Callithrix jacchus: one gene and its partners. The protein of the gene in region 1 interacts with the protein of each later gene in a biochemical or structural test. Links are inferred from orthologs where the notes say so. Each region holds a gene or a part of one and is shown on either strand. Other genes may lie near its edges. The genes, in order: DNM2, SH3GL2, SNX9 and ITSN1.

Region 1 (6,789 bases):
AGTCGAGCAGGGATGGCTCGGCTGGGCGGATAATGGTGGGCCTGTTAGGCGCAGCAGGGGGTCTTCTGCTGCAAAGAGAATAAAGACAGGTGGGGAGGGGGAGACGGCAGTGAGGCCGTGAGCCAGAGGCAGGCCTGGTTGAGGACCCAGCCCCCACCCACACGCCACCCCAGGGTGCTCCCTGGGCTGACGGCTCCACAAGCCACCAGGGTGCTGGGGAGGAGTTTGCTGAACCCCAGGCATCGATTCACCTGCTGTTTGACCCTTGGTGAGTTTCCTGCTCTATCTGGGCCTCAGCTTCCCCACTGGATAAGCAGAGAGAATAAGGCCCGGCCCACAGGGTAGAGTGAGGCAGGCAGAGGCAGGAACAAGGTTAACAGTGAGAGAAGGTGCCCAGCATGAGGGATCCCCAGCTGCCTGGTAGTGCATCCCAGTGGGCAGAGGGCAAGCTGGGAGCCCTGGAGTCACCGGGCTCCCCTACTCTGTGACACTGAACAAGCCTCTTGGCCCGTCTGGGCCTGCTTCCCAGCCAGCCAAATGGGGATGAGGACAATTCCTCCAATCCAGCAGCTGGGCACATGGGGAGAGCTCACTGGGAGGCAGTGAGACTGGAGGAGAGACCCCAGGGTACAGGTAGTTGGGGTGGGGGGCAGGGGGTTGGCCTTACCTGGGCACTCCTGGGGGGATCCCTGGGGGGATCCGAACTGGCCGCGATGGGATTTGAGGTGGGGCCGGGAAGAGGTCATTGTTGGCAAACACGCTCTGTGGTCCAGGCCGGTACGGGATTGGGGGTGGTAAGGAGGAGGTTGCTGTCCCCATGGGCAGAGGAATCATGGGGGGCCCTGGAGTGGGACCCCTCACCGCTGGGGGCCGGCCTGGGGGGTGCACACTGGACACGGGTCGGCGCTGAGGAGTAGGGCTGTGAGGAAGGAAAGGGTGTGAACTACAGACGGAGTGGGAATCCCAGCCATGCCAATTGTGGCTGCCAGGGCCCAAGGCTGGGGGGACAGCGCAGGCGCAGTGGGATCCTCCCACCCCAACCTGAGCGCCAGACCCACCTTCCCTTTCTCCCGGCCCCCAAGGGCTTCTGTTGCCCTCTGACCTCGTCCCCGCAGCCCCAACGTGGCCAAGCACTTCCCACTCACACGGCTCCCTCAGGTCTCGGGCCCTGGGATCCACCCTCACAGCCAGACACTCCAGAGTCCTCCCAGATCAAGCCTTAAAGCTTTCAGGGGCCATGGAACACACAAGCCCTTCCGAGAAACCCAGATTCCCTCCTGGGCCCCAGCACCTGCCGCCTGCAGGCCTAGGTGCAATGTACTCCCCCTAACACCATGGCTCCCCAAGGGCTCTGTAGGGTGGCCCCGAGGTTCCCTGTGACTGCCTCAATGGCCTACACTCCATCCGACACCTCGGGGGCAGGGCAGGTCTGGCCACACCTTCCGTTTGCCTCACCAGAGCCTTCCACCCACCCTTCTCTGTCCTCCAGGAGGCTCATCTCTGTTCTGTGGCTGCTGCCCCTCCAGCCTCTTACCCTGGCTTCCATTTGGGCAGTGCCGATGGAAGGCACCAGCAGAGGGCAGACGGGGTGGATTTATTCATGGTTTCCAGCCCTAGAGCTCCAAGGCCGGCTGGCCCCCATTCCCCTTCTCTCCCTTCTCAGGCCTCAGCAAGGCAGCAGCTCCCACTGTGCCCAGCCTGGGGGCCGCCCCTTCTCCTGCCCACCCTTGGGCTGTGTCCCGTTTCCTGCCAGGACCCTGCAGGACACGCGGGGAGAACAAGAACCTGCAGGCTGCACGCTTGTGGGTAGGGGAACCAGGCTCCCGGACCTGTGGCTGCTGGGGCTCTGGAGCCAGGTGTCGTCGACGGGCGGGGGCACGGGCGTGGACACGGTGCTGGTGCTGATGTCGCCAATGATGTTGAGCGCCTCCTTGAGGGCGTGGTACATGCGCAGCATGTCGTCTCGCCGCTGCGCCTGGTCGGCTGACTCCTCCATGAGGCTGCTCTGGTCCGCCGAGGAGTACAGGTAGGCCAGCAGCTCATGGTGGATGAAGGCCTTTGTCTGCGGGCAGGGGTTGGGGAGGCTCAGGCTTCTGCATCACCCCAACCCAGAACCCATAATGACTGCTGGAAATACATCTCCCACAGGGCGAGGCCACCCCCAGACTTCTTTGAGAAATCTTGCTCTGTCTCCCAGGCTGGAGTATAGTGGCTCAATCTTGGCTCACTGCCTCCCAGGTTCAAGCAATTCTGCTGCCTCAGCCTCCTGAGTAGCTGGGACCACAGGCGCACACCACCATGTTTAGCTAGGTTTTGTAGATGGGGCTTTACCATGCGGCCCAGGCTGCTTATGAGATTCTTATTCAACTTACTCCTAGCATCTTGTCTCTTCTATTGATACTGTCTTAGCTTCTTATTTATTTCCTTAACCTTGGCAGAATAGTCCTGTTATACTTTTATTTGTTTATGTTTTTGTGACAGTCTCACTCTATCACCCAGGCTGCAGTGGGTGATACTGCAACCTGCATCTCCTGGGTTCAAGCAATTCTTATGCCTCAACTTTCCAAGTAGCTGAGACTATAGGTGTGCGCCACCACCCCATCTAATTTTTGTATTTTTAGTAGAGACAGGGTTTCACCATGTTGGTCAGGCTGGTCTCGAACTCCCAACCTCAGGTGATCCACCTGCCTTGGCCTCCCAAAGTGCTGGGATTACAGGCATGAGCCACTGCTCCAGCCCCAAAGCTGGTTTATAAAGCTTTTTGAGTGGCTAGTGCCATGCCAAAGGCATGACCCACAAATGCCCTGAACCCTCCAGCAGCCTGAGCTGGAGATCGTATCAGCACAGCTGCATTTCACAGAAGAGGAACTCAGAGCCCTGAGAGTCTCCAGGGAACCTGGGGCCAGGCAGGTGATGCCCATGAGGAAGACAGGCTGCGCCCCCAGCCCATCAGGACACAGCAGCTGCCCGACACGACCTGAAGGCAAGGTTGCAACCAGAGTGAACGTGCATTTGAATCCCACTTCCTACTCTCCTAAGGGACTTGGGGCAGGTTACTTTATCTCTCTGGCCTCCAGTTTTCTGTCTGTGAAATGGAGTGCAGTGGCACCACCATAGTTCCCCGCAGCCTCAACCTCCTGGGCTCAAGCGATCCTTCTGCCTCAGCCTCCCAAAGTGCCAGGACTACAAACTGGTGTGAGCCAGGGTGGCTGGCCTCCTTCTCATTTTTTTTTTTTTTTTGAGACGGAGTTTCGCTCTTTTTACCCAGTTGCTGGAGTGCAATGGTGCGATCTCGGCTCACCGCAACCTCTGACTCCTGGGTTCAAGCAATTTTCCTGCCTCAGCCTCCCGAGTAGCTGGGACTACAGGCACGCGCCACCATGCCCAGCTAATTTTTGTATTTTTAGTAGAGACGGGGTTTTACCATTTTGACCAGGATGGTCTCGACCTCTTGACCTTGTGATCCACCCGTCTCGGCCTCCCAAAGTGCTGGGATTATAGGTGTGAGCCACCGCGCCCGGCCTCATTTTTTTTTTTTTTTTTTTTGAGATGGAGTGTCACTCTGTTGCCGAGGCTGGAGTGCAAAGGCATGATCTCGGCTCACTGCAACCTCTGCCTCCCAGGTTCGAGCCACTGTCCTGCCTTAGCTTCCTGAGTAGCTGGATTACAGGTGCCCATCACCATGGAGAAGATAGCATTTCTCCCTCGTGCAGTTAGTCTGAGGCCGGCATAAAGTAATTGAGAGAAGGTGCAGATCTGCGGTATTCGTTCCAGTTAGTGGACTCAATGGGACCATGGACCCAGTATGGCTCGGAAGCCCTAGGGTTTCCCAAAGAGACTGGCCGTGCAGATTCTGGTGTTTAAAGGGTAGTGACTTGTTCTGATTTGTTGCTGTTGCTGTTGTTGGAGACAAGGTCTTACTCTGTTGCTCGGGCTGGAGTGCAGTGGCATGACCACAGCTCACTGCAGCCTCAACCTCCTGGGCTCAAGTGATCCTCTCGCCTCAGCCTCCCAAAGTGCTACAAACAGGTGTGAGCCAGGATGCCTGACCTCCTTCTCATCTTTTTTTTTTTTTGAGATGGAGTCTCACTCTGTTGCCTAGGCTGGAATGCAATGGCACGATTTCAGTTGACTGCAACCTCCGCCTCCCGGGTTCAAGTGATTCTCCTGCCTCAGCTTCCCAAGTAGCTGAGATTACAGGCATGTGCCACCATGCCTGGCTACTTTTTGTATTTTTAGTACAGATGGGGTTTTGCCTTGCTGGCCAGACTGGTCTTGAACTGACCTCAAGTGATCCACCCGCCTCAGCCTCCCAAAGTGCTGGGACTAAGCGTGAGCCCCACGCCCGGCCGCCTCCGTCTCACTTTCAGTGTTCCACTCACATTGTTGATCATGAGGTGCATGATGGTCTTTGGCATGAGGTCGCGGATGGACTTGTTGATGATGGCCACGTACGAGTCCACCAGGTTGCGAATGGTCTCCACCTGCCGCTCCAGCTGGGGGTCCATGGAGAAGGTGTTCTCCTGGGCCCCGTCCTCGTTTTCTGCCTGCAAGTGGGAGGTGAGGTGCTTAGGGGTGACCTTGGCCTGGGGCGAGTCCTGGTTCTCTGGTAACCATCTGCCCTACTGTCCCATCGATAACTGACCTCATGCTGGCCCCTGAGAGCCCCGCTGGTACCAGGCAGACTTGCTTGCCCCAGGCCAGAGCTGCCCAAACAATGGGGTGATCCTGGCTGATGCTGGGGTGAATCCCCTCACCTGGGCATTGGAACGTGGTTGTTTTTTGTTGTTGTTTGTTTTTTGATAGTTTTTCTATGTCACTCAGGCTGCAGTGCAGTGGCACAAACACAGCTCACTGCAGCCTCAACCTCCTGGGGGGCGGTCAAGTGATCCTCACACCTCAGCCCCCTGGAGTAGCTGGGATTACAGAGGTACACTGCCATGCCTGGGTATGCTTTGTATTTTTTGGAGAGACAGGGTTTTACAACATTGCCCAGGCTGTTCTTGAACTCCTGGGCTCAAACGATCTGCCCGTATCAGTCTCCCACAGTGCTGGGATTACAGGCGTGAGCCACTGCGCCCGACCTTGGGACATTTTATTTTATTTTTAAGATGAAGTCCTGCTCTGTCGCCCAGGCTGGAGTGCAATGGCATTATCTCAGCTCACTGCAACCTCCGCCTCCTGGGTACAAGTGATTCTCCTGCCTCAGCCTCCTGAGTAACAGGACTGCAGGCATGCGCCACCATGCCTGGCTAATTTTTGCAGTTTTAGTAGAGTTGGGGTTTCACCATGTTGGTCAGGGTGATCTCAAACTCCTGAGCTCAAGTGATCTGCTCGCCTAGGCCTCCCAAAGTGCTGGGATTACAGGTGTGAGCCACCCACTGTGCCCAGCTGAGACATTTTAATATTGGGGTCAAGGGTAGCCATGTTCACTCTACCTCAAGGATGGAAGGGGAAAAGAGAACAAAGCAGGTGGAATCCCATCCCCTGCGTGCCGCCGTCATTGGCTTCAGTGAGAGAACTTTCTGGGCCCTGATGACAAAGTGCCCCAGTTTCTCCTTTGCTTGCTCAAGTGGGCATCTGCTACATGACTTCAGAGAATCCTGGCTAACGTGGCCTGGAAATGATCAGTCTTGGGGAAAGCCAGCCCTGTTTCCTCTCTTGGGTGGGGGCTGCCGGGCCTGAGGTGTGCCAGCTGTGCAGGGCAGCTCCTCACCTGGTCCTTCTCGGGGTAGACACCGGCTCGGAGGAAGGAGGCCTTCCAGCTGTCGACGTCCTCCTGGGAGTCACAGGCCAGCTCGATCTGCCGCAGGTCCTTGTAGACATTTCTGCGGGGGTGGGGGGGGCATGCTTGACCCTGACCATGGGCCTGGCAGACCGCCCAGAGGCATGGGCTCTGGGGGTCCTTCTAACTGATTAGGAACCCAATCCTAACCCAGAGGTGGGCATGTGTCTCCCAACACCCACTGTGGCTGGGGAGCTCCCAGATAGCCCAGAGCAGCGCTGTCCATCAGAACTTTATCTGCACTTTTGTGTGTTTTTTTTTAAAAAAGAAAGTTGGTCAGGCACGGTGGCTCAAACCTGTAATCCCAGCACTTTGGGAGGCCGAGGTGGACGGATCACCTGATGTCAGGAGTTTGAGACCAGGCTGGCCAATATGGTAAAACCCCGTCAATACTAAAACACAAAAAAGTAGCTGGGCGTGGTGGCAGGCGCCTGTAATCCCAGCTACTCAGGAGGCTGAGGCAGAATTGCTTGAACCTGGGAGGTGGAGGTTGCAGTCAGTTAAGATCATACCCTGCTCTCCAGCCTGGGCAACAGAGTGAGACTCTGTCTCAAAAACAAAACAAAACGAAAAAATTTTTGTAAGGGTTAGGCGTGGTGGCTCACACCTGTAATCCCAGCACTTTGGAAGGCTGAGGCAGGGGATTCGCTTGAGCTCAGGAGTTAGAGACCAGCCTGAGCAACACATGAAGACCCTGTGTCTACAGAAGATACAAAAATTAGCTGGGTGTGGTGACATGCACCTATAGTCCCAGCTACTTGGGAGGCTGACGTGGGAGGGTCACTTGAGCATGGGAGGTGGAGGCTGCAGTGAGCCAAGAACACACTGTGCACTTCAGCCTGGGTGCTAGAGCGAAACCCTGTCTCCCCCATCCTCAATTTTTTTTTTTTTTTGAGACGGAATTTCGCTGTTACCCAGGCTGGAGTGCAATGGCACCATCTCGGCTCACCACATCCTCCGCCTCCTGGGTTCAGGCAATTCTCCTGCCTCAGCCTCCTGACTAG
Region 2 (7,155 bases), on another chromosome or scaffold:
CCTTGCCTTTTTCAGCATCATCTAAAGAAGTTGGAGGGTCGACGCCTGGATTTTGATTATAAGAAGAAACGACAAGGCAAGATTCCGGATGAAGAGCTTCGTCAAGCTCTAGAGAAGTTTGATGAGTCTAAGGAAATTGCTGAGTCAAGCATGTTCAATCTCTTGGAGATGGATGTAAGTGACTCTCCTGTGGTTTTCAATTTAATCTTATCAAGGCACAGCATTAATGTGTTAAAGGGCCTAACCCTTAAAGCATTAATATCTGATTACACTATGTGATAAGAACTTCAGTAGTTATGTCCTTTAAATAATTTTGATGAAGTAGACTGAGAAATAGAAAAGTTTTTTCCACCTTTCTGTAGTTTGATTTAACCAGATTCTTGTCTGCTAATGAATCTTAAAGTACAGATGCTTCTTAACTTATGATGGGGTTAAAGTCCTGAATAGATCATGTAATTTATTGAATACTGTGTTAAAAGTCAAAAACAGAGTGGTTGTGTGGGTAATTGAAGTATGGTTTCTACTGAGTGCATATCACTTTTGCACTGTTGTACAGCCTACAAATTGTTAAGTCGGGGACATCTCACTTACCAACAGTGGAAAGATAAAGAATATTTCTGATGATCTATGCATAAATTCAGTAGAGGCCTGAGAACTCAGTTGTGGAGGACGGGGCATCAGTAGTACTGGTGCCAGTCCCAGTGTCCAAAAGCCAGAAAACCTAGAGATGTGATATCCAAGTGCAGGAGCATATGGGTACCCTTCCCTAGAACAAAAAGATAACAAATTTGCCTTTCCTCTGCTTTTTGTTCTCTCTGAGTCCTGAGATGAGTGGATGGTGTCCACCTGCATAGGGAAGGGCAGCTCTTCCTTAGCCTACTGAGTAAATGCCAGTCTCCTCTGGAAACACTGTCACAGACACCCAGAAATAATGCTTTACCACCTATCTGGGGATCCCTTAATCTAGTCAAGTTGACAGCTAACATTAACCATCACATTGCCTACTCCTGACTGTGGCAGAGGAGGCATTTGAACATATCCAGACTTTCCTACCACCTGGAGACAGTGTAGGTTTGTGTTTATGTAAGACAACTTGTGTCCACCTAACTCCTTGAGAGAAATACTGTGGGCATGAGGGGTGATTCAAATCACAGTGCTCCTTCCCTGCCACCCAGCACCCCTCCCCATCCCCAAATTTATGGGATAACACTGCCTCTGATGGCTTGGAGGCTGCTTCCCAGCTGGATCATAATGTGAAACACAAAATCAAGAGAAATCAATCTTTGAATGTTAGAGCAGGAATGAACTCAAGATGTCACTTGATTTAACCCTTTTACATTATAGATGAAGCTCAGAGAGCACAGAAGACTCTCATACCATATCATCTCTCCAGGTGCATTTTATGAGATATTATCACATTTTTATTAACAGGACTGATATTAACAGCATGAAAAATATAGGGAACAAAGAGTCCTTTGGCCAATATACCTTCTTTCCCATGGGAAATTAATAAAAGAAGTCAAATCCCAAATACAAGATGGTGGCTAAGCATGAGACTCTATAGAGCTATGTGGTCTTCCTGAGGATTCCTAATGTTGCTTCTCCTCATGGTACTGATATGTGTGGTTCTAAGCATAAGGATGCTTTCTTATCCTTGATCGATTTGAAACCTGCAGAACTATGTGTCCTAGTTGGCTCATGACACAGTCATCAGTACCATCAAGCAGGGGCTGTGTGTTGAGGGCAGCTCTGTTGTATGTATGAAACAGTAATGGCTGCTTAAGGAGGGTGATGTGGAAACTAAGGCATGATTTTCCCATCCATCTGCAGATTGAACAAGTGAGCCAGCTCTCTGCACTTGTGCAAGCTCAGCTGGAATACCACAAGCAGGCAGTCCAGATCCTGCAGCAAGTCACGGTCAGACTGGAAGAAAGGTATTCTAGTTCCCTGCATTTCACATTTGCATTTTCTTGCTATAAAATGATGTAGAAAGAAATGGAAATCATAGAATACATTTGAAGACAAACATCTGCCAGAATTCCTGCTTATCCTGCAGAGGCACCTTGTGTATTGTTGGTTTTGATTTTGTTTTGTTTTGTGCATTGTTCTGTTTAATCTAATTTTCTGTTTATGAGAGGTCGATACCTGGATTATATTTTGGCTGCCACAGGTGGGATACCAGGAGGCTACTGCTGATAATGGATGCCATTTGCTGGGCAGATGTTCCGTGTGGGTACTGGATACATATCATCATCAATCTTATAATAGCCCTGTAACCTAAGTATTTTTAGCCTCGACTAACAGATGAGTAAACTGAGGCTAAGAGAGGTGAAGGAACTAGCTCAGGGTTACTCAGTGGTGTGACTGGAGTTCACAACCAACCATAACCTGTTTGAAAGGCTCTTTTTGACTAGGCATGGTGGTTCACGCTCTTAATCCCAGCACTTGGGGAGGCTGAGATGGGCAGATCACCTGAGGTCAGGAGTTTGAGACCAGCCTAACATGGAGAAACCCTATCTCTACTAAAAATACAAAATTAGCTAGGCATGGTGGTATATGCCTGTAATCCCAGCTACTCTGGAGGCTGAGGCAGGAAAATCGCTTGAACCCGGGAGGCAGAGGTTGCAGTGAGCCGAGATCACACCATTGCATCCCAGCCTGGGCAACAAGAGGAAACTCTGTCTCAAAAAAAAAAAAAGGGGGTTGTTTATTTTTACATCTCGTGTTTCTCTGAATGGTGATGAAGGTCCTCTGCCATCAGAGACAGCTGCTTTCACCTCCTTAGTTGCACCTCACAGCAGGGTGTTAGCAGCAGGAAACCATGTGAGTGCGGCTCTGTGGGGTCCTGGGGCACAGCCTGTGTGGCTACATACCAGTGGCCCTGTGTTATCATATGCTTTTTATTTTAATTTAGCCAGATTAAACAGGATGATTTTGCTGAACACATATACCTCAAAGGGTCAACTCAGCAGGCTTTTTTCTTAGATTACATGGCCAGGTTAAACTCCCATAGCTAGCTGATCACATGGCTGAATGCATGATGAACAGTCTAGTCATACAATTTCACGCTGTTGAAAATATCACCTATATTCACTGTTTTCTTCTGACTGATCTTGTCTCAGTATCTTCTTTGATTTGTGGTTTGATTGAGCATTTTCCTTCAGTGCACCCTTGTGGAAATGTATGTAAGCCTCCAGAAAGGTTTTAAAACCATGTACTTCAAAATACTAAAGAAATGTTATGTGTCTTTTAATATCTCTTGCGCATGAAGGGAGCACTTTCCTTTTTTCCCTCTGAAATATGTTCAAAATCAGTATCAGTCTACAGTTAGCATACCCTAAACCCTCGTTCTCCCTTGCACATCTCTTACATACTTTGTTTATTGAATACCTGAGACTGTGGAAAATATTTAGGGGTGGGCAGAAGACACTTATTGGCCGTACCTTTCCAATTTCCCTCTGTCTTCCCTCTTTCATCTTTTCCTCCCTGTATCTCAAACTGCCCATTCTCTTCAGAGCACACACTACATTTCCTCCTTCCCTCTGTCTAAACCTTCTCATATTCTGCATGGAATAGCTTCCTTTCACATTTTCATTTGGGAACGACTCCTGTATATCTTAGTTCTTTCCTTAAGCCTTCTCTACCTTCCCCATGGAGAGGTAGTCTCCTTCCCACCTTCACCACCAACTACACCCCTGTGTTCCTGTGGCACTTTGTAGATATCTCTGACAGTGCTTACTAAAATTTATGGTAATCAGTTGTTGATGTTCTCCCTCCCTTACAGACCATAATCTGTTTGTGTCTTTTTTTTAATTAAAAAAATGCGGATACATAGGTGTATATATTTATGGGGTACATGGCACATTTTAATACAGGCATGCAATGTATCGTAGTCATATCATGGAGAATAGGGTATGCATCCCCTCAAACATTTATCCTTTGTGTACAAGATCTGTGTCTTAATTCATTTTTGTGTTCCTGTTACCTAGTACGGTGTGTATTTGCATAAAGGACTCCGAATAAATGAAAGAGGAAGTGAGGGATTGAGAGAGAGAATGAAGATAGTAAGGATATGGCCCCATAAAAAGACATCACCAAAATCTCAGATATACACATAGAAGAAAACTAAGGGTCCTTTTTTGATTTCCCACACTTTGTCATGGTAGAATGGTGGGTGACCCAAGCATATCCTGAATCTTTATATTCATGTTTCTTTTTACTTCTTAACTGGCTACATAACCCTCCCACCACTTTCCTTTTTACTGCAGAATAAGACAGGCTTCATCTCAGCCTAGAAGGGAATATCAACCTAAACCACGAATGAGCCTGGAGTTTCCAACTGGAGACAGTACTCAGCCCAACGGGGGTCTCTCCCACACAGGCACGCCCAAACCTTCAGGTAAGGAGCTGAGACTGCAGGTCCTATTGCATAGGCCTTGGCATATCCATCGGCACTTTTGCAGAAATTGTAGGAACAATCCAATCTGGCTGCATAGGAAATATGCAGTAATATATTTCTTATGGGGTGGTTTGTCAGGTAGAAACTCTGTTAAAGAATTCCTTTTGTCTTCTTTCATTGACCTTTTTCTTTCCTTCCTTTTCATTCTTCTCTATAAAACTTTGTATATCCCTTTTTCTCCCTCAGTCATCAGCACACATGAACATATTTTATTCTGACCCTCTTTTGTGGTCATAAATCACCTTTCCTTGTCAGTTTGGTGCCACAAGTGTTATCTTTGTTTCCTACCTGTTCTCTCTGAATCCAGCCTGCATAACAATGAATACCCCTGGGCAGCGTGTCCCCATATGCATTCACATATAACCCACAGACGGCAAGCGGCTCCAGAAATGTGCTGATGAGCTGGATTTCTTGAGTCACAGAAACATATGGTTAAATATATTTGCAGAAGAAGATATTTTTAATTTCAACACTTGCTAGCTTTCTTTCCCATGCCTCACCTCTGATCAGTTTATCATGCTGTTGTACTGAGTTTGATATAATTAAAGTTAGATGACATTTAATCTCAGGAATATCAATGCATACCTAATAGAGTATTCTTTTCCTTGTCACACTTGTTCTCCATGCCCTACACATAGATTACACAACAGCCTGTGCTGGAGACATTTTCAACCTCCACATTTGCTTGTTCAAAGTGGGAACCGTTTTATACTGCATATGGATGTTAGAGACAGGCAGCTTTCTTTTATTTTTCCTGCATCCTCCGTGCTTGATGTTCTAAAGTAGAAAACTTTATAACATGCTCTCAGGAGATTTATTAAGGAAAAAAGTGAGGTCTGAGCCAGCAGGTGGCGCTCTCTGTCCTTTGCGCTCAGTGCTTCAAGGCACGGCATAAGCAGCCATGGCTCCTGGAGCTGGCTACCAGGACTGGTCATAGAAATTGTGTATAGCTGTGATTCTCCCTGCCTGGAAACCAACCGTATGTTTCACCTTTCATCTGGAGACTCATTAATTTGCTTCTCTGTCTAAAATCAAAAAATAAATTACATTGTTTCTTTTCCTGCCACATAGATGGCATGGGAGCCATATGCGCTTGACTGAGTCTCTATCTACGTGTGTGTGTGTAATATTAATGGATTGGGTCATTTGGAAAGATCCCTCTTAAGATGTGAGTTCATCCTTCATTATTTTACTCAAGGTAGAGTACATTGTTTTTTATATGCCATAGCTCCAGGGCACTGCATATATTTATATATACAACAATTTACCAAGTATACATTTTATGATTTTTTTTCAGAAGCTAATTTAATAGCCACAATAGTAATGTGTAGTAAGTCCTACTGTTAGACCCAGTTTCAGATACTGAAACTCAGAGTGAAGTACCTTGTGCAAGGTCAAAAAGAATTTCAACTCAGTGTTTTATATTATTCTGTTTTTACTACAGTACAGCAGTTTCCAGAGGCTAGGGTTGTTATTTTAAAGAGTGATAACTGAACTATTACTCTGAGGTTGCAAAACATTGTCCATGTAAGTAACCATACTTTTTCAAATATGCAGAGATTTTAAAGTGCTCACGTGAGAGAATTCTGGCCATGCTGTGTTATTAACCTACATCATTCTATTCTTCTGAAGTCATTATGCCTCTTATTACTGGGCATTATCATGAAGGCAGACTTTAATGAACTCTTGTATGTATCACAAGAATAGATGTGACCATTTTTCATACTGGAAACAGAAACAGGAATATATAGCAACTTCCAAAGGTTTGAGGAAATTTTTGAGGACTAGTAGCGGGCAAGATGCCCAGTGCAGTGGACACTGAGGTCTGGTAGCAAGAAGAAGCTTCAACAGGAAGAGGAATGAGGGAGGAAAGACGGGGAACAGAAAGCCAGGTGGGTACAGCAGGCAGCAGATTCTGTGAGTTAAATACTCTTCATCCTCTTGTGTTCTCTTCTCTCCTGCTTTTACTCTCAGGTGTCCAAATGGATCAGCCCTGCTGCCGAGCTCTGTACGACTTTGAACCTGAAAATGAAGGGGAGTTGGGATTTAAAGAGGGCGATATCATCACACTCACTAACCAAATTGATGAGAACTGGTATGAGGGGATGCTGCATGGCCATTCAGGCTTCTTCCCCATCAATTATGTGGAAATTCTGGTTGCCCTGCCCCATTAGGATGTTATGCTGGCTGGCTCACCTCCTCTTGACCCAGATAGTTACGGTTAACCACTGCTTTGGTAATGCTGCTTATAACACATCCCAAGTGCAGGCCGCAGTGGTCCACGTCATCCAGCCCCACCAAGTGTCTTTGGTTGACTTGTGGGCTCCCACAGGAGTCATGGTGATGGATGATATCCTCTTAGCCTGTGGGCATGGCATGTGCTTTTTAAACAACATCTGAGACCAGCCAGTAGTCACAGAACTGCTGTTTACACAGTTCTCAGGAGGCTGTGGTTTCTTAGAATATGACTGTGAGCCACATCACAGAAAAACCATCCCACTGAAGATATTGTCTATCACCCAGGGGCCATCTGAAGGTCTCTTTGCATTTCTCCATGCAAAGAGGAGAAAGCGTTTGCTTTCACAGTGTCCCTTCCCAAATACGTGAGTCATGGAATTGTCAAAGAAAGCCATCCCTCACCAGCAAATTGTTTCCTGATCTGAATGAATTTGTCTCTTAATGCATCCATAGAAAAG
Region 3 (7,155 bases), on another chromosome or scaffold:
GAAAGACTACACGCTGCATGCTTCCATTTACAATGACACTCTAGAAAAGGCAAAATTATGAACACAAAGCACACATCAGCTGTTGCCATGGTTAGGACTAGGGGAATGGGCAGCACGAGGGAACCTGGGGAGGTGACGGAACTGTTCTGTACCATGAAATGTGGTGGTGGTTGCAAGACTGCAGTGGTAGCTATTAAAACTCAGAACCGCACACCTTAGAGTGAATTTACTGTACATGAGTTTAAAAATCCTGAACTCTCTTTTTTTTTTTTAATAGAAATTATGAGCAGAGCCAGGCAATGGTGGCATGCATCTGTAATCCCAGCTACTCAGGAGGCTGAGGTGGGAGGATCACCTGAGTCCAGGAAGTCAAGGCTGCAATGAGCTATGATAGTGCCACTGCACTCTAGCCTGGGTGACAGAGTGAGACCCTGTCTCCAAAATAAAAAAATAAAAAAATATATAAATAAAACACAGGTATTATGCACCTACATATCAAAAACTTTTATCATCTAAAAAGTAGACTTGAACAGAACAATGAGTCTAGACACTGCATACTAAAGCATTTCAAACTCTGCATTTACTAGGAGTAGATTAAGCAGAAACAAAGCCTCGTGCCTTGGAAAGATGACAATCCACCTCCTGGCTGGAAAGCCAGCATGAACCTGGGATATGACGAACTCCCCATTATGGCCAGGTGAGTTACACCCAGAGTTCATTACCCAATCACTGGTTGAAATTCAGCGATTCTTGTTTTATTAAAAAATTCTTCTTGTCAAAATTTTTCTGACATAGCTGGTTTATCTCTAAGCTTATGACTTCAGATGTAATTCTATGCTTGGTAGGATTTTCAGACCAAGTTGCAGAGAATTTAAAAAAAAGGAGGAACTTTTGTTTCCCTGTTTTCAATGAACCTTACTAAGGTTTTCATTAAGTATGTAAATATATCAGTTTGGTACCAGGAATAAAACCATATTCATTCAATATTAATTCCATAAAGAACAATAATATCAAAACAAAGAAATCTTAACTGTACATTTTTCATGGAGGAATTATTGGGTCCACAGCAATGTCAAAGCATCATCTACCAATCATTCCTTTTTTTTTCTCCCGTAGTGAAGTTAGAGGGAGTTCTTATATAATCACGACCTGTAGGCACCACAGGCAAGAGAAACAAGTGAGAGGGGAATAGAGCCCTTCTGTGCTCTTTGGCTTCCTTGGCTCACATCCCAGTCAGTGAATCAAAGCTCAACTTCTTTACACCGAGGGGCTGCTGCTTTCTTGCTTTTCTATGCTATTCCCCTGGCTGCATGCCTGAACTTATTTTTTTTTTTAAACAAAACTTAGTATGAAAGGAGAACCATGACTCTCTGAAGCTTTAAAAAAAGCACTGAATTATCCAATTCAGAATAAACAATGTATTAAAATCTGAAAGATTGAGAATTTCCTACAATCCTGAAATAGGCCATTAATCCATGTATTTAAACACTATAAAGCACACACTGTGCTAAGTTGATAAAGGAGAGTACAAAATTCAAGGAAACAGACTATAATTTTAAAAGGCAGAACTGAAGTTTTCATGGAAAGAAAGCTGTGTTTTTAAAAAGAAAGCTGATGGAAAGCAGTAAGGATGACAAAAGGAGGTACAGGGAGTGTCTGAGCTGGGTTAGAAGTAGGAGTGCAGTCAGAACCTCTGGGCAGAAGGCAGCAGCAGCCACGGCCCCAGCACCATGAGGGACCACTCGAGTGTCACCTAGGGGATTGTGGGGATGTGTTTCTCTACTCAGCAGTGCAGCCTCATTTTCCATTTTGCTATGACAATTTGAAACTTTTGAAGTTTTCCAAAAACATCAAAATCAAAAACAAAACTTTCCATCTCCACAAAACACTTCAGAGAAAAATAAACATAAAACAAAGTAAAATACAGAGTAATGTTTTAAGGAGAGTAATTTACTCATTGTATGAAAACTAATTCTAGGGAAAGATTAGTCAGTCCACATGTTAACATGAACACAGTAAGCTGTGGGATCAGATTCAAATTCCTTTTTCGGCAAGAGAGAGGGGAACCTGTTTAATGTCTCTGGATCTCCTTTTCCTCATCTGTAAAGTGAAGATAGATGTCTGTGAGGACAGACGAGAAGCACTCGGGAAGTGTCCAGGCACATGTGGGGCGAACCCCACGCAGTGCTGACATGTCTCCATCTGGCATCACTACCTGGCTGTGAAGTTGCAGGCCCTCTCTGAACCATTTATCTCGACTCTTGCCAGTGCAGTGAGAATTCCACCGCCTCTGGTCTTCCCTGACCTTTGGGGAAAGAACCCTTCCTTTACCCCTCCATGTTTCTTCTCCCTGTGTTCAGGTGAGCCTCTTCACATCTCTTACAGGCCTCTCTGGCTCTGATCTTTTAAGACCTCCTCTCACTCTCGGTCCACTCTTTTCTATTTTCACTAATTCACGAATGTGAACATTTTCTTGCAATATACTAAAACTCTGCTTAACCTTTAAGTCTGTTTCTTCACAACCTTTATTTTAACACACGCATGCTGAGTCCCTGAGTGGCTACACAGAGTACCAGAGTCTACCGGCTGGAGATTAAAAACAAAAACAATTCCCAGACACAGAAACAAACCCTTTCTACTGAATACCCACAAAGTGCTCTAGTAACAACATGGGTTACTTACCAAAAGATTGGGGTCGGGGGGAGGAATGTGGCACTTTTAAAAAATAAGAAAAGGGCGAGGGTAATAACCTAAGTAGAAAATAGGGCAGCTTCTTCCTTCGTTAACACTTAGCAGCCTCGTGGCTTCTCCGGCCAGCGCTCACTCATCTAATGAAATGATGCAGCTCATCTGTATAACCTATTTGCAGTATGTGGGTCATATGTTTTTATTTCCTTTTTAGGCTATTTGAATGATTCATTTCTACTTTTTCAGGTGTCCCTTTTCACATATTTTAAATGTGAAATCTTTAAATATTTTAAATATTTCTTTTATACGAAAGGGTGCTGCCATGAAGACAATGACTCTGCTGGAATTTAAGACACATACAAAGACCTCTGATGTGTACATTAAATGTTCCTGTTAGATGTTTAGGCAACTTCCAGATATATGTACTAAATGTTACGGTTCTCTCTTCATAGCTGAATTTAGTTACTGTTTCCAACTCCTACATCCTGCTGCTCTATAGGATGTGAAACGCTATCACTGACTTACAGGAGGATAATCTAGCTGGAGTCTTTTTATTTGTCATCCTGAGTTTAGCATTAAACACACTCACCTGTGACTTGTTTGTCTGGAAGCGAAGGGATTGGAATGGCTGACCCAAACTTAACCAGGAGACGCTCATATAACCAGTCAAAGTGCTTATATCGGTGGTTTACAGATCGATTAGTGTTCTACAAAATGAGGGGAAGAGAAAAGGTTATCAATGCCAACTCCAGAACATGAAGAAAACAGCAAGCTGCAATCAGTGATGCAAACATGATTTTGCTTTTGATAACGTGGACACTTACAGTAGGTGTCAGCTGATATTCAATGTAGCTCTTCAGACCATACATTTTGGAGCCTTTCCTGGGATCTGCTACCACACAGTCAAATGTAGAGGTAGGATAAACCCACATTGGGCCATAATCTCCAACCTATGCATCGTTCCAGAAAAAAGTAATTTTGTTACATGGAAAAATAAAAACAATAAATACAAGTGATGTACATCAGCAAGTAATTCTTTTCAGAATGACAAGGCCTCTGGGGGGCCATTCTTGTTCCTCTTTGAGAAGTAACAAACGGTTCAACGGTTTCTGTTCCTATTAGATATTATGTTTAAAGAACACGCCTGTGGGACAACCCCTCTGCTCCCATGTGGGTAGCTCAGCCCATGGAGAAGAGATACCAGCTTCCCTCCCCCGAGGAGAGTGCTGGTTACAACACAATGTCTCTTTGTCTCTTTCTAGTCTAGCTGTCTCAAGCTACATGTGATGAAGAACTACTTTTTAAAATTTTCCAATCTATCACAAACTAATAGTTTGGTGAAACATTACACGTTGTGATTATTGAACAGTACCAAATTGCCCTCAAGTTTTCTAAGTACTCTCGTGTTCTGTACCCATCTCACGGCGGATCAGGAACAAGCAGTTTTCAGATGGACAACTGGTCTCTGCACCATACTTTGAGTAGCACTGTTTTGGCTCACAGAAGTGATTCATCAGACTGGCCAGAGCCTGAGAGCCATTGTTTTACTACTAGTATGGGAGGGGGCGGTGGGGGCATGCGGAGGTACTACGTCTCAAAGCAAGAACCAGGCGAGCTGTTTTTTCCACGGACTGCTGTGCCTATGCACAGCTGTCTGGCTCACTTCCAACCCCAGGTATCAGGCCCACCTGGGCAAGGCTTGCCCGAAGAGGGGAGGCCTCCATTCCTTTCCCACTGGCCTTCTCTCCTATCTGTGACAAGGGCCAAAGTTCAAAAATTCAGGCAAGGCTACCACTAGTTAGCTGGGGTTTTAGCTGCGGTGGGAAGTGAGGAAGGGAAACCAGCCGAGTTCCAAATGGGGATGTAAACACCTTGTGTGTAAGTTTTGAGCCTGAGGATCACTTCTGCTAGGCATTGCTAGGAGACAACAGGTCTGCTGTCGCAAACCTGGTTTTGTTCATCTTATTTAAAACAACATCCAAGGCCATGGGGGCAGCTGCAGAGGAATCTGGATGCTGGAGCTCATGTACAGCTCCTGGAGTCACTCCCTGGGTCACCAACAGTCAAGCTGTTTGCCGGCACATTCATTTCAGAAGCTTTGATCACAATGACAGATTGATTCTAGAGATTCAGACTGGAGGACAGCAGATCTTACCGAAGCACATTTCAGAGCAACAGAAGTCCTTATTATACTGAGAATGCTACCTATTTTCTTGGCTTGAAAATGAAAAATAATTGAATCATAATCTAGGAATAGAATAAACTGCAAAAGGACCATTATTTCTAGGAAGGGAATTCACTTGGAGATTCAAGGAGAATGAAATAATATGTAGAACAGGTTTTATTCTTGCAGATTTGAAAAAGTACAGCAAGAAGGTAAAAAGAAAATTAGAAAAATCACACAGACTGGGCTGAAGGAAGAGAGATTTGTTTAGGTTGAGACCTCAGAGAGGCAAGGCCAGGCAGACATAAGAAAAAAAAGTGGTCCATATATACACACACATACACACACACATTTTTTTTGATGGAGTCTCACTCTGTTGCCCAGGCTGGAGTGCAGTGGCACAATCTCGGCTCATTGCAACCTCTACTTCCCGTTTTCAAGCAATTCTCTGCCTCAGCCTCCTGAGTAGCTGGAATTACAGGCACCCACCACCATGCCTGGCTAATTTTTCTATTTTCAGTAGAGACAAAGTTTCACCATCTTGGCCAGGCTGGTCTTGAACTCCTGACCTCGTGATCTACCCAGCTCAGTCTCCCAAAGTGCTGGAATTACAGGTGTGAGCCACTGCACCTGGCCATATATATACATATATAAGTGGAAGATGGGAAAAGCGGGTTGGGATATAAAAGTCCAGAGTCTGGAGTCTGTTAGGTCAGAAAAGTGTCCTAGTCCAAGGATAAGAGTAGTTTAAAAAGAGACCAAAAAGAAAAATCTCTGAGAATGACTATAACTCCCTCAGAGAGAGCCCAGATCCAAGAAACTACCAGAAAGCTGCAGAGAAGATGACTTTTGGGAACTCCCTCCATGAGTGGGCCGAGAGCGGCAACTGTGCTGGGCTAGGGCCCAGTTTCATGGGGTTCTGTTTCATGAGTGGGCAAGGTTACTGCACTTTTAGAGCAAAGAGAGTCTCTGCTTTCTCTGGGCCTCCTGAAGACACAGTGGCTTTCCTCAGCTTTTTCCATGTAAGAGGCCCACACAGGCAGACCTGCCTACTACTGGGTCCAGTTCTACCTAAAACTTGCAGGTCAATGAAAGGCTGGGACCCTTAGCTCTGTACCACCACTGCATGCTTGAGACAAAGAATCTGAGGCAGAGCTGTGAGCCCTGGACTTTGCAGAGTTTTAAATGTAATGAAAAGAATTATGGTACATGTTCATTTTTTTTTTAAGTCCAGAGAAAACAGGAAAAAAATCTTTAATATAAGTACTCAGAAGTTAGCTACCCTAAATTTGCTTTGAGGGAAAAAGTATAACAAAGGCTCTTGGTTATACAACTCTTGAGTCTGAAGAGTTTCAAGAATTCAAAGATGTAGGGACAAATAATTAGAGAATCTAACACTCTTCCTGCAATTTTATCAAGTCTCCAAAGATTACAGAGTAAGACCAGATGTTTCCTTATCCTTGACCAAGTCCAGGGTGAGAACACTCAAGGCTTCCCCCTGTTCCCAATCTGATTGTTACAGGGTTAAGTCAACAGGATCAGAAGATAGCTACAGTTCTCTTTTCCAGAGTTTCATTTGGGAATCTACAACTAAATATCACCTAGACAGAAAATCTATCACTGATCAAAATGTGGAGTGAAACCAAAGGGCTTGCGTCACGTTATACGATAACCACATAATTTTAAGACAGGTATTCTTAATGATGTCCTTAACTCCCAGCTTCTATCTGGAAGCTCCTTACCTCAATTTGACAGCTGGTTTACTGGACAAAAAACACTATTACCAATATCCCTGAAAGGGCACCTTATTCTAATAATATACATGTACTTTACGAGGGAAGAAAGGTAAATACTTGACTTGAGTTCATTAAACATAAAGGGCTGGCAGAAAAACAGTATGTAAAATACACTTCAAGATACTTCAGAAAAAATGATCAAAACAGTATGTATTATGAGTGTTTGTTCAATACTAAAAGTCTGAAAGATAAACAACATAATGACATTAATTTGCGCTAATTATCTTCGATACTACAAAACTAACAGATCTTATCAGTTACTTAGGGCATTAAATATATTTAAAATACTTGCCAAAAGATGAATAACCTACTTAGCTTTAAGGTACAGTATTACGAAAGAGCTGAATCAGAAAGAAAGCAAACAAAATGAATAAACTTACAATGATGGGAATTTTCTCTTTGGGTTTTGCTAGTTGTTTGGCCAACAAATACTGTTCCGTGCCAGGTTTTGCAAATCCAGGAAATCTAATCATGAATATAAACGTTCGTGAGTCTTAAGTCTTTCAA
Region 4 (7,798 bases), on another chromosome or scaffold:
TGAGGAACAAGGGAGCAAATGGTGTGATGAATGAATCTTCCCTTTATGCTGCCTTAAGCATGTGACTCTGGGACAATGCAGGTGGAGGTCCCTGGTGATGACAAAAATAACCAACTGAAGGATCCTTCCACAACTCTACCACACCGCAGTTACTAGCTCCCCTGCAATCCATTTAACTGATTTTCTTTTTTACCTACTAACATTACCAAAGCTTGTAAATGCTTAATTTTCCATTTCACTAGAGGATCATGGAGAAACCCCTTCTTGCTTCAAATGAAAAATATGAATTCTAATTTTGATTATCAAATATTTACTAATTCAAAAATCAAGAGAAAATTTCATGTCTTTACTATGTATACAATGGAAGAAATTTTTTTGTAAAATACCATATTTTAGCATATGTATATATGCATTTTTTTTGTTTTTTTGAGACAGGGTGTTGCCCAGGCTAGAGTGTAGTGGTCACGATTTCGGTTCACTGCAACCTCTGCATCCCGGGTTCAAGCAATTCTCCTGCCTCAGCCTCCTTAGTAGCTGGGATTACAGACATGCACCACCATGCCCAGCTAACTTTTGTATTTTTAGTAGAGACAGGGTTTCACCATGTTAGTCAGGCTGGTCTCGAACTCCTGGCCTCAAGTGATCCGCCTGCCTCGGCCTCCCAAAGTGCTGAGATTACAGGTGTGAGCCACCACGCCCCGCCTAATATGTGTATTTTTGCTCTTCTACTCTTAAAATTCTCCTGAGCTCAATGTAGTACTAATCATTGGGTCTACAAAAAGAGTATAGTTTCACTGCACAAGGCTGGCAGCTTGATCTTGTATGGGGAACTCTCTCAAATCTAAACATCTTATCCCCTGCTATAAGCTGGAACAGAGGCATCAGTGAAGGGAAATCAGTAATAAAAAGTAGTAATTTTACACTGCAGTGGCTGCTGGATCAGATTTAGAAGTCAAAACTGCCTCGAGTTTGAATCCTGGCTCTCCTACTTATCAGCTGTATGACTTTGGGCTACTTAATTTTAACCTTCTGGGCCCGAGATCCCATATCTTAGATAATAACAGCAGTTATCTCAAAGGGTTGACATAAGGATTAAATAGTACATGCAAAGCACTCAGGGCAACATCATACTTTCAGAAATGTTGGCTATTTTAACTATTATTTCTGTAAGTTGGGCATATTTCAATTACAGAGAATCTCTAAAGTAGTTCTGAAGCCCATCTCACAGAGTTGCAAAGGGTTTCGTCAATGCAACCTTACTTTTCACACCTTTTAATTTCTGCAGTGGGCTACGGTAGCAGCCACTAGCACAGGTGGCTACTGAGCACTCCAACTGTGTCTAGTCGGAATTGAGATGTGCTGGAAGTGGAAAATACACATCAGATTTCGAAGATTTAATACGAAGAACGTAACATCTCAATTTAAAAATATTTGATGAAGCGATGAAACAGTAATGTCTCGGATATACTGGGCTAAATGAAGAATATAATTAAAATTAATTTCACGAAGTTTCTTTTCACTTTTTAAATGTAGCTACCCCAAAACTTAAAATGACATAAGGGGCTCGCAGTATATTTGTACTGGACAGAGTTTAGGTAAAACCTTGCTGCTCATAACGTGGACAGCCACACCTGGGAGCTTCTTAGAAACGCAGATGTTTCTGGCTTCTACCCAGACCTACTCCAAGGCAATGCTTACATCTCGCTCCAGATTATTCCGCTGTTTAGCGGAATGAAGAGGGCAGATCTGGCTCGAAAGCCACATACAGCGAATAATTACTAACTGCTTTCCGAATACAGCAAAGGGATGAGGAAGAAAGAAGTGGCTGAGAAGAAGTAACAGAGGAAGAAAAACACACTCAAATTCTAGAAACAAGCAACAGTGGAGAAAGACTCAACCTGGGAGATTGAGTGGAAGGGCACTCCCAGACCTCGGTCTCCATAAAAGTAGAGGGAGATGCAAACTGAGATAAGACCTACAATCAAAACCCGTCAAGGTCCAGGAAACTGTCCCTCAAATCTAGTCTTACCCGCCCCTCAGCGGCCTCAGCTAAGCTAGGCCTGGGCCCGAAAGAGTCTCCGGTTGGGGTTCGACGCGAACCACCATCCTCCCCAGGGCTGCACGGTTTCGTGGGGCATCTCTCCACCTTTCGCTTAAAGTCCCGTTTCTCAAGACACAGAACGCGTTTCCTGGGGCTCACCTGCCTCTGATCCGCCCCAACGGCCTGCACCTTCGCCACCGCCACCTTCAAGTCCTTCCGCAGAGAGCCCGCCCCCCGCTCGCATTGGTCAGGTGGCTCGTCACTCCTGAAGGGCGGGGTCGGACTTGCGAGGCTGTCGAGGACGCCATGGCAACCGGTCTCGAAACTACATCTCCCGGCAGGTTCCGCTCGGGGGCGGGGGAAGAGGCGAGGCACAGCCCTAAGGGCTACCAATAAATGGGCGAAGTGGGAATCGCCTGCATGGGTTCCGTTTTATGCAAATTCTAACTGAAGACCACACCCTTCCTCATTCCAACCACTGCCCCTGCCAACCGCTTTGGGTGGTGCTTCGCCTCTCTTTTCCTTTCCACATTATTCTCTCCTTTAAAACCTCCAATAATTAACTTAGTAAGTGCATCCTATCTAGCGTCTTGCACTGGAACGAGCAGATGCGCCGAAATCGTGGAGCAAAATCTCCATAAACCACGATAGGGCAACATCAGACAAGAAATCCCCGGTTTCGCCTACGTCGCGGGGAGAGGAGTGCTAATCTCGCCCCCCCCCTCAACGCCTGCTGATTGGCTCATTTGGCTTGTCACTGTTGTCTTACAGTTCTTTGGCTCTCCCTCCTTGGGTTTGCTCGGTGGGTGGGGCCAGCGGTAGGGGGCGGTGAGAAGGTGCGAGCCTCTTCTTCCGATTGGCAGGAGGTTTTTCCACCCACTTGTGGGCGGAGACGGGGGGGTGGATGGGGGCGGAGGAGGCAGCGGAGGGAGATGAGGAGATAGGCGGGAGCAAGGGAGCGAGGGAGGGAGAGAAGGAGGTAGAGAGGAGTGGAGGCGCCGGGGGAGGGAGAGCAGCTTGGTTGCTCCGTAGTACGGCGGCTCGCGAGGAAGAACCCCGAGCGGGCTCCGGGACGGACGGAGAGGCGGGCGGGGATGATTTGCGGGGCTGCGGCTCCTGCGTCCCTCCCCGCGGCGCGTGAGCGGCACTGATTTGTCCCTGGGGCGGTAGCGCGGACCCGCCCGGAGATGAGGTGAGGAGCGGGCTGCACGGCGGCGGCCTGGATCGCGGGCGGCGGCGGGGGCGGGGGTCGGCGCGGGGGTCGGCGCGATGGCCGCCCGGGGCGTCCGTCCCGCGCCCGGTGCTTGTCCCCCCGGCCGCCCTTCGCTCCTCGCCGCGCGCCCGGGAGACGGCAGCGGCCGCCCCTCCGCCTCGTCCTTCCCGTCCTCGGGGGCGGCGGCGGGGCGGCGGGGCGACGGGGCGACGGGCGGACCCGCACCGGGAGGCCGGGGGCCGCGGCGGGCCGTGGCGTGGCGGCCGCGGGACCGGCGTGGGGATGAATGGGCGCCGCGGCCCCGTCGCCGAGCGGGCTCTCTCCTCCCGCGGAGACCCCGGGCGGCCGCTTCTTCCCGGGCTGACCTCGCTGCCCTCGGCCACCGGCGCGGGGCGGCCCGGCCTCGCCTCCCGCTGGCCTCCCGGGGACCCGCGCTGGCGGGAGCGGCGCCGCCTCTGCCTGGAGCCCCCGCTCCTTCCTCGGCTCCTCACTCGAGAGCCTGCAGAATCCTGGGTCAGTGAAGGGCAGGCAATGCCGTTCGGCCCCAGGGCGCGCCGCGGGGCCGCCCCTAAAGGCATTTAACCGAGAGCGGCTCCCGCGCCCTGTGAGCGCGTCCCCGGGTCTGCCGCGTCCCTTCCCTTCTTACGCACCGACACGGTTTTGTGGTGTGGACCCAAGGCACAATTGCGGCCGCTTGCTTGCACGAGGGAATGCCATCAGAATTCCCAAGGAAAGGAAACCGGCGAGGAGTCGGCCGCACCTTCCTGCGCTTCTGCTTGCTTTGGGATTCGAAAACAACTTCGGAGATTACATTTCCTATGGGCAATCTTTTGTTTTGATTCAGACTCGAGAAGGCTTTGCTTTGGAAGAAATAGATTAGCTTCTTCTCTGTGGAGTTGGAGGCGATGGAGATTTTTATAGCCTCTTCAATATGAAAGTTTCCTCTAGAACTTTGCCATCATCGTGCTGTTCTGAGGGCAGCAGCAACCTGGAAATTTAAATATATGCAGGCTCCGGCCAGATGCGTTTCTTTGTGCCTGTCTATTGGCATTCTTCTCTTGCTGTTCCCTCTTGATCAAAACGTACAGATAATAAAAACAGAGCCAATGAGAGGGTGGATAATAACAGCAAATTCCATACAAACAAATGCCGCTAGAAATTCTCAGTTCTGTCAGCGGGGAGGCAGTTTTGCTAATCCCGTGGAACGGATGAAGAGAAAGGCACAGAGATCTCATGGATTATGTAGTGGACAGGATGTGAGGGCAGGAACTGGGGCCAGGACCCAGCAGGCCAGCTGGTTTGCATGGTGCCACTCTAAACCCCCAAAATATGAATAGATGGAATGTATTTTTTGGATATCTTTGTTTTTAGATGACTTTAAGGCTGAGAGTGCAGAAGCTTAAACACCCTTCATAGTTATTATTTCTTAGTTTATCTCTGAGAACAAAATATGTTTCTGTTTAAAATTTCTTTTACTGGTTTGCTGGAAACGTTATTTTGATGGGAGCTTCCTTGTTAGTAAAAACATTAAAAAATACATACATGTGAAAGAAAAATCCTTTCTGCAGGTGGATTTGTAAAGAATCCAGGGACTTTTAAGTCATATAAATTAAGGAATGAGGGACACTAATTTGATGATGGTGTTAAAATTACTTCAGACACCCTTAAGTAATCCATTAAAGATCATTTCTGATAGTATGATCTTTTTTAAAAAATGGTATTTCTTTATCTAAGAATGTATCTGTTGAAATTGCTGAGGCGCATGGTACCTTCAGAAATCTCCATTATTATTCTGCCTGAGTAAGAGAGGAGATGAACAAATTTTTAATGTACTTTGGAACCCTGTGGATTGCTCAGATACTAAGCATTGTGAAATAGGGCATAAAATAGGGTAGCAAGTTAGTTCTGTGAAATGTTTGTCTCTCTTGGCATTTTTTTTTCTTGGCAGTTGACTAGCAATTTTCTTTTTCTTAAAGCTTATCTTTAATATTGGTAGTAGAACCTCTGCTCAAGTTTATCTTTTCCCCAAATGCCTAGTTTGGGACAAACTATCAAGCTCCTGCAAGAGATGAAGGAGGAGCTGATGGTAAATGCCTTTACTTTTTTTTTTTAAGACAGGGTTTGGCTGTGTCACTCAGGCTGGAGTGTAGTGGCGCAATCATGGCACACTGCAGCCTCTAACTTTTGGGCTTCAGTGATCTTCCTGCCTCAGCTTCTGGTGTATCTGGGACCACAGGTGCATGCCACCATGCCCAGCTAGTTTTCAAATTTTTTTCTAGAGACAGGGTCTCTCTATGTTGCTCAGGCTGGTCTAAAAAGCCTGCCTTAAAGGATTCTCCCACCTAGACACTAGGCCTCCCAAAGAGCTGGGATTACAGGGATGAGCCACTGTGCCTCATCCAAATTCCCCTACTCTATTCTTTTTAATTTGCTAAAATTTGCGAATTGTAGAGAATTAATGACATGAGAGTTGGGGTTATATTACACACCTCAGATTATTCTGCCATAGAGCTATTGCCTTCTGAATGATCACTTCCTCCTGAATGGCTCCACTTACTGGTTGGGTTTCTCAAAGTGTGGACCACGGATCATTTACCTCAGTGTTAATGGAGGCACTTGTTAAAAATACAGGTTTTGGGCATGGTGGCTAAAGCCTGGAATCCCAACATTTTGAGAGACTGAAATAGGAGGCTAGCATGGGCCCAGGAATTTGAGACCACCTTGGACAACATAGAGAAACCTTGCCTCTGAAATAATTTAAAAAAAAAAAAAAAATGCGCTGGGCATAATGACTCGTGCCTATATTCCCAGCTCTTCTAGACTCTGGGGTGGGAGGATCTGGTTCACTTGAGCCCAGGAGATCGAGGCTGCAGTGAGCCATGATTGTCCTACTGCATTCTAGCCTGGACAACAGAGTGCCTGTGTCCAAAAAGTAAGTAAGTATATAAATAACATAAAAATAAATACAGGTTTCTGTCACCTCACCCGACAGCTGGAGGTGGAGCCCTGGAGTTGGTATTTTTACTGCCTTCTCCAGGAATTTCTCTTGCATAGGGAAGTTGGAAACCAGTGGCTTCCTTCTTGCTGAGCATCTCCTGAGACCTGCTTCTGAAGTGGATAGAAAGTTTTTCTTTTTCTTTCTTTTTTTTTTTTTTTTTTTTTTTTTTGAGACAGTCTTGCTCCGTTTCCAGGCTGGAGTGCAGTGGCGTGATCTCGGGTCACTGTAACCTCTGCCTCCCAGATTCGAGCAATTCTCCTGCCTCAGCCTTCCGAGTAGCTGGGACTACAGGTGCGCACCACCAGGCTCAGCTAATTTTTGTATTTTTAATAGAGATGGTGTTTCACCGTGTTGGCCAGGATGGTCTCTATCTCTTGACCTCGTAATCCGCCCACCTTGGCCTCCCAAAGTGCTGGGATTACAGGTGTGAGCCACTGCGCCTGGCCCGGATAGAAAGTTTTTCAAGTGGCAGGTTAAGTTTTATGCCTTAGGTTGCTAATAAAAAACAATTGACCATGACCTTCAGCTACATAATTGTACCTGTCATGTACCTTTCAGAAGGCAAAGGCTTTGGTTCACCACTGTACCACCAGGGCCTAAAACAGTGCCTGGCGGAACTCAATTAAATGTTTGTTGAGTGAATACATAAACTACATTGCAGTGAGGCCAATCTTTTTTTTTTTTTTTTTTTTTTTTTTTTAAGAGACAGAGTGTCACTCTGTTGCCCAGGCTGGAATGCAGTGGCATGCTCTCAGCTCACTGCAACCTCCGCCTCCAGGGTTCAAGCAATTCTCTGCTTCAGCTTCCCAGGTAGCTGGGATTACAGACACCCACCACCATTCCTGGCTAATTTTTTTGTATGTTTACTAGAGACGGGGTTTCACCATTTTGGCCAGGCTGGTCTTGAACCCCTGACCTCATGCTTTGAAATCCTGACTGAACTCCTGATCCACCTGCTTTGGCCTCCCAAAGTGCTGGGATTACAGGTGTGAGCCATTGCGCCCGGCCAGGCCAATCTTTTAAAAGTTTACTTGTCAAATTAATCTATAACTTAGTAGTCACTGACTTTTTAAATTAGGAGCCACAAGCACCATACGCCAGTGACTCCTGTAAGTTTGGTTAGTTTTGAAAGGAGAGACATTTCCCAGGAGTAGTATGCTCAAGGCGACTAGCCAGAAAGAAGATTCATAGCAAAGCATTTGCTTAGAGACTCCAAATGTAAATTTATGTTACAGTGTAGTGGTACATCTTATGTCATACTTATATTTGGTATATTGTCTTATATCGAAATACCATTTTATTAACCATATAATTCCAACATACTGCTATAAAAATTGGTTTCTAACAAATACAAAGAGTTGTTATGTTTTCCAATTTCACTTTTCACGTTAATAAAATTTGACCTTTACACCTTCTTTTCAAGAGTTCAACACAGGGCACCATAGATATTATGTAGTTACGAGTGCAGACTCTGGAGAATATTGTGTTTGACTACATGTAGTTGGTGAGTTTGATCGAACCTCTCAATGCCTCATTTCTCAGCTGA

What was found.
Region 2: the proteins of DNM2 (region 1) and SH3GL2 interact in a biophysical measurement, tested with the Homo sapiens proteins (2 studies listed by BioGRID and IntAct, with this or other methods). The link is inferred for Callithrix jacchus from reciprocal best matches to the Homo sapiens genes DNM2 and SH3GL2.
Region 3: the proteins of DNM2 (region 1) and SNX9 form a complex in vitro, tested with the Homo sapiens proteins (2 studies listed by BioGRID and IntAct, with this or other methods). The link is inferred for Callithrix jacchus from reciprocal best matches to the Homo sapiens genes DNM2 and SNX9.
Region 4: the proteins of DNM2 (region 1) and ITSN1 form a complex in vitro, tested with the Homo sapiens proteins (2 studies listed by BioGRID and IntAct, with this or other methods). The link is inferred for Callithrix jacchus from reciprocal best matches to the Homo sapiens genes DNM2 and ITSN1.

The regions. Positions count from the first base shown.
Region 1 is NC_133523.1:9,990,355-9,997,143, reverse strand, and holds part of DNM2 (dynamin-2), read right to left. Parts: intron 5,829-6,789; coding exon 5,717-5,828; intron 4,548-5,716; coding exon 4,383-4,547; intron 2,063-4,382; coding exon 1,830-2,062; intron 920-1,829; coding exon 668-919; intron 69-667; coding exon 1-68. UniProt on the Homo sapiens protein: Catalyzes the hydrolysis of GTP and utilizes this energy to mediate vesicle scission at plasma membrane during endocytosis and filament remodeling at many actin structures during organization of the actin cytoskeleton.
Region 2 is NC_133502.1:124,387,815-124,394,969, forward strand, and holds part of SH3GL2 (endophilin-A1), read left to right. Parts: intron 1-15; coding exon 16-174; intron 175-1,830; coding exon 1,831-1,934; intron 1,935-4,268; coding exon 4,269-4,399; intron 4,400-6,433; coding exon 6,434-6,633; 3' UTR 6,634-7,155. UniProt on the Homo sapiens protein: Implicated in synaptic vesicle endocytosis. May recruit other proteins to membranes with high curvature. Required for BDNF-dependent dendrite outgrowth.
Region 3 is NC_133505.1:164,734,969-164,742,123, reverse strand, and holds part of SNX9 (sorting nexin-9), read right to left. Parts: intron 7,114-7,155; coding exon 7,029-7,113; intron 3,639-7,028; coding exon 3,513-3,638; intron 3,396-3,512; coding exon 3,278-3,395; intron 1-3,277. UniProt on the Homo sapiens protein: Involved in endocytosis and intracellular vesicle trafficking, both during interphase and at the end of mitosis. Required for efficient progress through mitosis and cytokinesis. Required for normal formation of the cleavage furrow at the end of mitosis.
Region 4 is NC_133522.1:39,728,217-39,736,014, forward strand, and holds the start of ITSN1 (intersectin-1), read left to right. Parts: upstream 1-3,022; 5' UTR 3,023-3,233; intron 3,234-7,798. UniProt on the Homo sapiens protein: Adapter protein that provides a link between the endocytic membrane traffic and the actin assembly machinery. Acts as a guanine nucleotide exchange factor (GEF) for CDC42, and thereby stimulates actin nucleation mediated by WASL and the ARP2/3 complex.